2 linked regions of the Canis lupus familiaris genome follow. The protein of the gene in region 1 purifies or fractionates together with the protein of each later gene. This does not show direct contact. Links are inferred from orthologs where the notes say so. Each region holds a gene or a part of one and is shown in the gene's direction. Other genes may lie near its edges. The genes, in order: BAZ1B and SMARCA5.

Region 1 (3,813 bases):
TTAATTTTTGTATATGGTATGAGAGTATGGATCCAACCTTACTCTTTTGTATGTGGCTGTTCAGTGATGTTGCAGCATCATTTATTCAAATAACTGTTCTTTCTCCGTGGAATGATCTTGGCACCCTTATCAAAAACGATTGGCTATAGCCGCACTGGTTTGTTTTTGGACTCAGTTCTCCTGTATTGATCTATATGTCTGTCCTTATACCATACCAATGTCTTGATTACTGTTGCTTTGTAGTAAGTTTGAAGTGGGGAAGTGTGAATTTTTCTAATTTACTCTTTTTCAAAATAGGTTTGTATGTTCTGGGGTCCCTCATGATTCTATGGTAATTTTAGAATCAGCTTGTTAATTTCTACAAAGAAGGTGGCTGAGATCGAGCCCTGCATCAGGTTCCCTGCTCCAGGGGGAGCCTGTTTCTCCCTCTGCTTCTCTCTCATGAATATATAAATAAAATCGTTAAAAAAAAAATTTTAGCATTGTAAATGGTAGTGCTCTATACTTTGAGTTTCAAAATTTGTTACAGTTATAGAAAAACTAAAAAGGCAAGATTACATGGCTGTTTTTGTTATTGAGAGAAATTTCTGTCTGAATGAAATAAACCCATATAATGAATGATCAGAAATAAGTTGATTAAAACTTTTTTTTAAAAAAGTTTATTTATTTTAGAGCCTACAAGCTTGGGCAGGGGCAGAGGGAGAGAGATAATCTCAAGTGTGGAGAATCGACATGGGGCTTCATCTCATGACCCTGAGATCATGACCTCAGCTGAAACCAAGAGTCAGACACTTAACCAACTAAGCCACCCAGGTGCCCCAAAACGTTTTTTTTCATCATTAACATTAGTAACTTACTGAATAACCCCCTAAATGGTGTTCAGTATGCATTGATTGCTATTATGCACAAGTACTTGCCTGCCTTTGCTTTCTTAGGTCTTTTTTTTTTTTTTTTTTTTTGTCACTGAGGCTAATTAATTAATAAGCTGAATTATGATAAAATTTCTCAGGACTGAAGTAGGTTTCATTTTGAAATAGCTATTCCGGTTTTATTCATTCTGATCATTTTGAGGATCAAATAATTCCACTTAAGGTTTTTTGTTGTTTTGGATTTTATTGATTTATTTGAGAGAGCAGAGTGAGAGTGAGGGTAGGAGCTGCCCATCCCAGGACCCTGGGATCATGACCTGAGCTAGGGCAGACACTTAACTGCCTGAGTCACCCTGGTACCCCTTAAAGACTGTTTTAATATTTCATTTTAAACTATTAATAAAATTAATCTAATTACTAAAGTTAAATTTTGGAGAGAAAAGAATTTTCACTGAGTTGATGGCTGCAGTATGACCAGAATTCAAAGGACATAGGAAAACCAGACAGAAATTTCTACCTTATAGGAGTGCCTGGGTGGTCTCAGTCGGTTGAGCAGCCAGCTCTTGGTTTTGGCTCAGGTCGTGATCTTGGGTAGTGATCGAATTTGCTTCAGATTCTCTTTCTTCCTCTCCCTCTAGCTCACACTCTGTCAAATAAATAAAATCTTTTTTAAAACTTTCTTACAACAGATCAGAATTAGGAGAAGGAAGCTAAGGTTTGATAGAAATCTCCCTTTATATTTTCTGTTCCGTATCTTATTTAATTTATAAGAATAGGAATTATTAGGAAACATATCTAGTTGATTCTTTTGATCTTTACTAGTGAAACTAGAACGCGAAGCTGAAGAAGAACGAATACGAAAGCATAAAGCAGCTGCTGAGAAGGCTTTCCAGGAAGGAATTGCCAAGGCAAAGCTAGTCATGCGTAGGACTCCTATTGGTACAGATAGAAACCATAACAGGTAAGTTATTAGATTTATTTTTTTGTCATGTTTTAGGGTTATTATATTGTTCCTAGTTATGAAACTCTAAAGTATTTAGAATAGAAAAACTTCCCTGTTTATGGATTTTGGAAACAATTGCTTATCACATATTTATTGAATGTTTTCTCTGCCCACATGTTAGAGTTAAAAGTTAAATAAGATATGATCCTGTTCTTCTTTTTTTTTTTTTTACATTTTATTTATTTATTTGAGAGAGAGCAGGAGCCTGAGCAGGGCTAGAGGGAGAAACAGGTTCTCCACTGAGCGGGGAACCTGATGAGGGACTTGATCTCAGATCTTCAGGATCTGAAGGCAGATGCTTAACCAACTGAGTCACCACTGAGCCATCATATGGCCCAGTTCTGGAAGATACCATAAATATGAGCTTAAATTATTATGATAGGTGAAACGCAATCCAAATAGAGGTCATTAGAAATGGTAATATGTTTTACATGTGTACATTGTGTGGGACCTAGAGTAGAGAAATATTAGAAGTTATAAAAATTGGGACGCCTGGGTGGCTCGGCGGTTGAGCATCTGCCTTCGGCTCAGGGCGTGATCCCAGAGTCCTGGGATGGAGTCCCACATCAGGCTCCCTGCAAGGAACCTTCTTCTCCCTCTGCCTGGGTCTCTGCTTCCTCTCTTTCTGTGTATCTCTCTTAAATAAATAAAATCTTTAAAAAAAAATTTTAAAAAATTAAAGCTATAAAGCAAATCTCAAATTTAAAAAATGTTGGTATTCTGTGCCTTACTTTATCATTTGTATCTGTCTGAATGTTCAGTGATACTCTGTATCAATTCCTCTAACACTGAAGTCATCCTGTGCTCATGATTTGTCATTAGTTTATTAATATATGGTTGTGATTTCTAGATACTGGCTCTTCTCAGATGAAGTTCCAGGATTATTCATTGAAAAAGGCTGGGTTCATGATAGCATCGACTACCGATTCAATCACCGCAAAGACCGTGCAGACTCTCCTGATGAAGATTACTGTCCCCGTAGTATGTATTCTGTCAGTTCTTTTACGCTTTCTAGTAGGGTCATTATTAAGGACTGTCTCTCCTTGGTCACTTTTTCTATTTGCAGAGTTTCTTTATTGTCTTCTTAGGTAGATGTATTTGATGGGGGCGGGAGAATGTGAGATGCATGGATCTAGGAGGGAAACTAGCATTTGATTATCAGCTTTGTTTCAGGTATAGTGTGAAAAGATAAAGAGCTTGAATATTAGAATAGCTAGGTATTAGATTTTATATGAGTAGTCCTCAAACTTTGTTCCTTGGAAGTGTCTCGGTAGGTGCCTTAGTGGCTGGAATTGAGGTAAAGGGCTAAGAAGATAGTTACGGGTCTTCTTCCTCTGCTTTCAGAGTTTATTTATTCAGTTTGAGTAGAGCATCTCATGTGTGCCACCTAGTTTTTCATGTTTTGTGGTACAAGATAGCAAATAAGCCAGATAAGGTCCTGAATGCCATTTAACTGAAATTCTAGTGAGGGGGAAACACAGCAAATAACTAATTAAAAATAAGTGAGAAAGGGTCATAAAGGGTCACTGATGTTCTTTTTCTTGATCTGGATTCTGGTTACATGGGTATGTTCAGTTTATAAATAAATACACAAGTATATTTTGATAGATGTGTATATATATTTTTTCTTGAGCCACATATATATTGAACATACATTATGTGTAAATTTGCAATATTCATATGTATAATATCTCAAGAAAAAAATTTTTAATAAAAAAGGTCAGGTTAGGTCAGGTTTCCTCAACCTCAGCATTATTGACATTTTGGGTCAGATAATGCCTTTTTTTTTTTTTTTTTAAGGGTTGGAGGAGGGGCAGAGGGTGATAGAGCCCAAGCAGGCTCCATGCCCTGTGCAGAACCTGATGCAGGACTCAGTCCCACGTCCCTGGGGTCATGACTTGAACCAAAATCAAGAGTTAGGGACGCCTGGTTGGCTCAGCG
Region 2 (4,613 bases), on another chromosome or scaffold:
CTTACTAATATCCCAGTAGCTCAATTGCCCAGCATCCTGCATTTTCTGCAGCTTCTCTTGCTGCTTCTAGACCCTGCTCAAAATTTGTTTCTCTTTTCCTCATGTTGGATTAGTGGATTCAAACATTGTTTTCTCTTCTTTCTTCTGTATCTCTCCTCTATTTTTAAGATTCCTATACAGATTTTATATGCTTGTATGAGAAACTCACAGTATAAACGCACGTTAAAAGACAACTGCCATTTTAAAGGCAGTTTTATTTATTGCTTTTCTTGCTATTTATTGGTTCCCTTAAATAATCCTCAGACTTTTCTTTAAAAAAAGATTTATTTATTCATACAGATACAAAGAGAGAGGCAGAGACATAGGCAGAAGGAGAAAGCCCCCTGCAGGAAGCCGGATGTGGGACTCGATGGCAGGACCCTGGGGTCATGCCCTGAGCCAAAAGCAGACAAACACTGAGCCACACAGGCATTCCAGTAATACTTAGACTTAAGAACCTTCCATTTACATACTTACATATATTTTTAGGGTTTCCAAAACAGGGCCCAAGATATGTATTATTATAGAGTGGAGAAATATTCCAAATATTAAATGTTATATTCTTCCTACTTAACAATGTCAATATTAAATACATTTTTATCAAACAATTGTTTATTGTGTGTATATGTCAGATACCACCCTGGACACTAACTTTTACCCTGATACCTGAACTTTTTTAGGTAAAAGAACATTTTTTAATATTAAAAATAAATTTTCTCAATAATATAAAAACTCATTTAAAAAATAAAAAATACAAACACAAAAGAGTTAGGACATATACACCACCACTTTCAATACTTTTATGACTATCCTTTCAAATTTTATCTATATTTTTGAACTGTTAAAATTTTTTTTCAATTGACACTATGTAATGAACATTTTTGTACTTTAAAAAAATTTTTTAGATTATTTTTTTTAATTTTTATTTATTTATGATAGTCACACAGAGAGAGAGAGACAGAGGCAGAGACATAGGCAGAGGGAGAGGGAGAAGCAGGCTCCATGCACCGGGAGCCCGACGTGGGATTCAATCCCGGGTCTCCAGGATCGCGCCCTGGGCCAAAGGCAGGCGCCAAACCGCTGCGCCACCCAGGGATCCCCTGCCTGCAACATTTCTTAATGAAAGAAGGTACTTTTTATTGAATATTTGGTGGTTGAGGAAAACACAACCCACCGCCTCTCTTCCTTGGTTACTCGTTTCTCACGTGGCCACGTGCATAGTTCTTTTTTTACTTTTAGCATGTAAATTTGGAGGAAATACAGTCCAACTTGTATCGAAGTACAAGAAATTTAGAAATGATGAATATAGCTACCATGGGAAGACGAAAGAAAAATCACACAAACTTTTCATGAGACGAGAAAGACGTCATTTGGGACAACCGTAACGTCACCGCCATGGCGTCACGCCTATAAGCGGAGGCGATAAAGTGTTAAACTCCGCGCACAGCAGCGTTCCATGCGCGGCGCGAAGTTCCGGCGAGTTCTCAGACGGTGCCATCCGCCCCCGCCAAGCCCGGGGGCGAGCGCGGACGAGCACAGCCGTTAGACCCCGCGTTTGCGTCACGCCTCGGAGCGACGCCCAAACCTACGTCTTCACACACGGCCCCGAGGCCACGCCCACTCCTCGCCCTGGAGGCCGCTGGGAGCCCTCCGGGGGCGTGGCCAAAGGTGAGGCGAGGGAACGCGCAGGCGCACTCAGAACCTAGTCAATCAGCCAACTATTAATCTCGCGAGGGTTGAAAGTCGGTGGCGTAGGTAGTTGTCCTGGATGCTGGTGAGATAGATGATTTTTTTCCCCGAGGAAGAAAAGGGGGCGGCGAAGCTAGTTCCCGGCGTCGGTCTCTCTTTCGCTTTCCTTTCCCCTAACTCCAACCCTCCGCCCTCCCGTAAATCAACCCGCCTTCCCTGACCTCGGTGACCCAGGCGGCCCCGCCCACTCTTGTCGACGTGATTCCCGCCGTGAGGTAAGCGCCGCTCGAATCCCGAGCCCCGCGGAAGAGGAGGCGGACGCAAGGGGGAGGCTGCGGGCCCGGTTCCGGCTCGTAGGAGAGCCGCGGCGCCAGGGGGCATTCGGGTGGCCCTCTCGCTCCTCCGTCAGCTCGTTGCGACGTAACCACCCAGGCCCGGGCCTTCTCATCTCTGCCGAGCCGGGCCTCTGGCAGCAGCGGGTGACGCACACGGAACATCATGTCGTCCGCGGCGGAGCCTCCGCCACCCCCGCCTCCCGAGAGCGCGCCTTCCAAGCCTGCAGCCCCGGCCGCCAGCAGCGTGAGCAACAGCAGCAACAAAGGCGGCCCGGAGGGCGTCGCGGCCCAGGCGACTCCCTCTGCGGCTGGCTCCGGCCCCGCGGACTCCGAGATGGAGGTGAGAGTGGCTTGTGGCGCGGGGCGAGGGCGCAGTGGGGAGGGGGAGCCGGTTCCCTCGCCCGGATTTCAGTGATCGCACGCAGAGCCGTTTCCCACCCCTCCTGCATCCAAACTCGGCCTCGGACCCTTGGGATCCGAAGTGATTAACCCTGCGCCCTTGTGCTTAACCTCCCCACGCCGACTCCGATGGATTTCTGGCACTTCATGTTTACATTATTTGTCTCCAGCGAATCTTGCCAAATTCTCCAACGCTGTTATTAAACACATGTTATTGATTACCGAGGCCGAGAAGGACCTACCCGATTTTTGTTTTCTGTGGGTTTTTTTTTTTTTTTTTTTTTTTTTTTCGGTAAACTCCCATAATTCCCTCCCCCATCTCTGATTCTAGCTTTTAGTTTCCACTAAACTTGCGGGAAGGTAGGGAGAGATGCCCCTTAGTGGCGAGGGAAGGATGCGCGGGGTAGGAAGGCATTTAAAAGCGGTGCGTCCGAGGGCCCAGACCTTGTTTTTCTTCATCCCAGGCCTTGTGGGGGCGGTATCCGTTTTGGGCAGAAACAATGGCTTGAGCTGGAAGGCCGAGTGCGCAGTGGGGATAAGCGGGGCGCAGCTGCTCCCATGGAGGGAGACGAGGCTCCTCCCAGGCACTGTTCCTTTGGGAGGGAAAGCGACCAAGGCAGCAGCAGCAGCTGTCTTGGACCCCCATCTAATTTGAGTCAGGGGATGGATGGGTGAATGGTGAATTAATGACAATGGGGCTGTTGGCTTTCATGTTCAGCGCAATTCCTCTTTTTGGGCCTTGGCCTTCCTTCCACCCTCCTCCCCCAACCCCCCCCCCCCCCCCCGAAAATTGGTACTGCTCGCTAGTCGAGCCTCCCTTCCAGAGCTAGGGTTGGCCAGGGGATGGTGACAGCGCTGCGGGGGTGGAAAGTTTGGGGAGCTGCCAGGCGGGTCTCTTGGGCATGCTCCAAGACTTTGTGATGTCTGGGAACAAAGTAATTGCTTGCTCCTTCCAAATTTTATTCTTGGTCTTCGGTCTGTTTTGAGTTATTTTATAGTCACGGCCTACAGATTTCTGGGATTTTTTCCATCCTTAGGTAGAAGGAGTGAAGGTAATACTGCTCTGAAAAGGATCCTTGATGCAGAATTAACACGATACGTAAATGGAAGTGCAGTTTATCATTGGAGCATTTGGCGTACCAAAGTTTTACTTGGGCACCAAAGGTCTAATCTAGGGTGACGTAACATCACGTTAATAGTTTATGAGAGAATTTTGTGGTGAGGGTAGGTTTTAGTGCAGTAGGACATTGATATCCTGTATTTTTAAGTGTTTTGATTTTAGCTTCAAATTCTTATCAAGTGTTGCTTATTTTTCTTAAGGTTTTAAATGGTTGTTTTGAATTACCAGGACTGTTTAACTTGAATTCTTGCTTCGTGGTGTATGTAAGTGGGTTTGAAAATCTTTGACACTGAAAGCAATTGTGTGTAAATAGACAATTCTCTGCAAAAGGGTGTCCATAGTTTTCATCAGCCTCTCAAAAGGGTCTGTCGTTCAAATTCTGCAATAACAACCAGTATCTCACTGGAGAGGTTAAATATTAGAAAGCAGAGTATTTTAAAGCCTAAACTGCCTTTCAGTTGCTACTTTAAAATTTAAGTGGAATTAAAGTTTTAAGTATGGATATTGATGTCATAACAAGTACCAAATGAAGTCCAGGCCATATTTATTTGCCAAATAAAGAAATTGAGTCTTTTGATAAGTAGAATGTCTGATAGAACCCAGGTCTGGCTCTGAAATGGACCCATTTCCCACATATTTTACCCTGTCATATTCTTACAAGAAGTAGGTTCGAGAATTTTATTTCTTGAGGAATGACTTATTTTTGCTTTTTTGAAATAGGAACATGGGTAATTTCATTTTTTAAATCAATTTCTTCATTTACTAGTTTTAGTCTTGATTTTGTTTCTCTTCGTGTTGATTTAAAACAATTTTTTTTAAGTAAATGTACCTTTAGTCATTTTCTTAACTGAACTTGGTTGGAAATCATTGAAGTTCAGTGATAAAAACTAGGTTTGAGTCTATATATTTAATGTATCTGGCAATCCTAAATTAAATGCCTTTTTTTTTTGTTGTTTAAAAGTAGAATTTAACGTGGATTTTTTTTTCAAAATTAGAAAATAAATGAAGTCTTGGCCTTTACAAATTTTTTT

Evidence for each region.
Region 2: the proteins of BAZ1B (region 1) and SMARCA5 purify together in Homo sapiens (affinity purification with western blotting; 11 studies listed by BioGRID and IntAct, with this or other methods). This does not show direct contact. The link is inferred for Canis lupus familiaris from reciprocal best matches to the Homo sapiens genes BAZ1B and SMARCA5.

The regions. Positions count from the first base shown.
Region 1 is NC_049227.1:6,663,281-6,667,093, forward strand, and holds part of BAZ1B (tyrosine-protein kinase BAZ1B), read left to right. Parts: intron 1-1,691; coding exon 1,692-1,830; intron 1,831-2,722; coding exon 2,723-2,853; intron 2,854-3,813. UniProt on the Homo sapiens protein: Atypical tyrosine-protein kinase that plays a central role in chromatin remodeling and acts as a transcription regulator. Involved in DNA damage response by phosphorylating 'Tyr-142' of histone H2AX (H2AXY142ph).
Region 2 is NC_049236.1:43,021,552-43,026,164, forward strand, and holds the start of SMARCA5 (SWI/SNF-related matrix-associated actin-dependent regulator of chromatin subfamily A member 5), read left to right. Parts: upstream 1-1,755; 5' UTR 1,756-2,226; coding exon 2,227-2,403; intron 2,404-4,613. UniProt on the Homo sapiens protein: ATPase that possesses intrinsic ATP-dependent nucleosome-remodeling activity.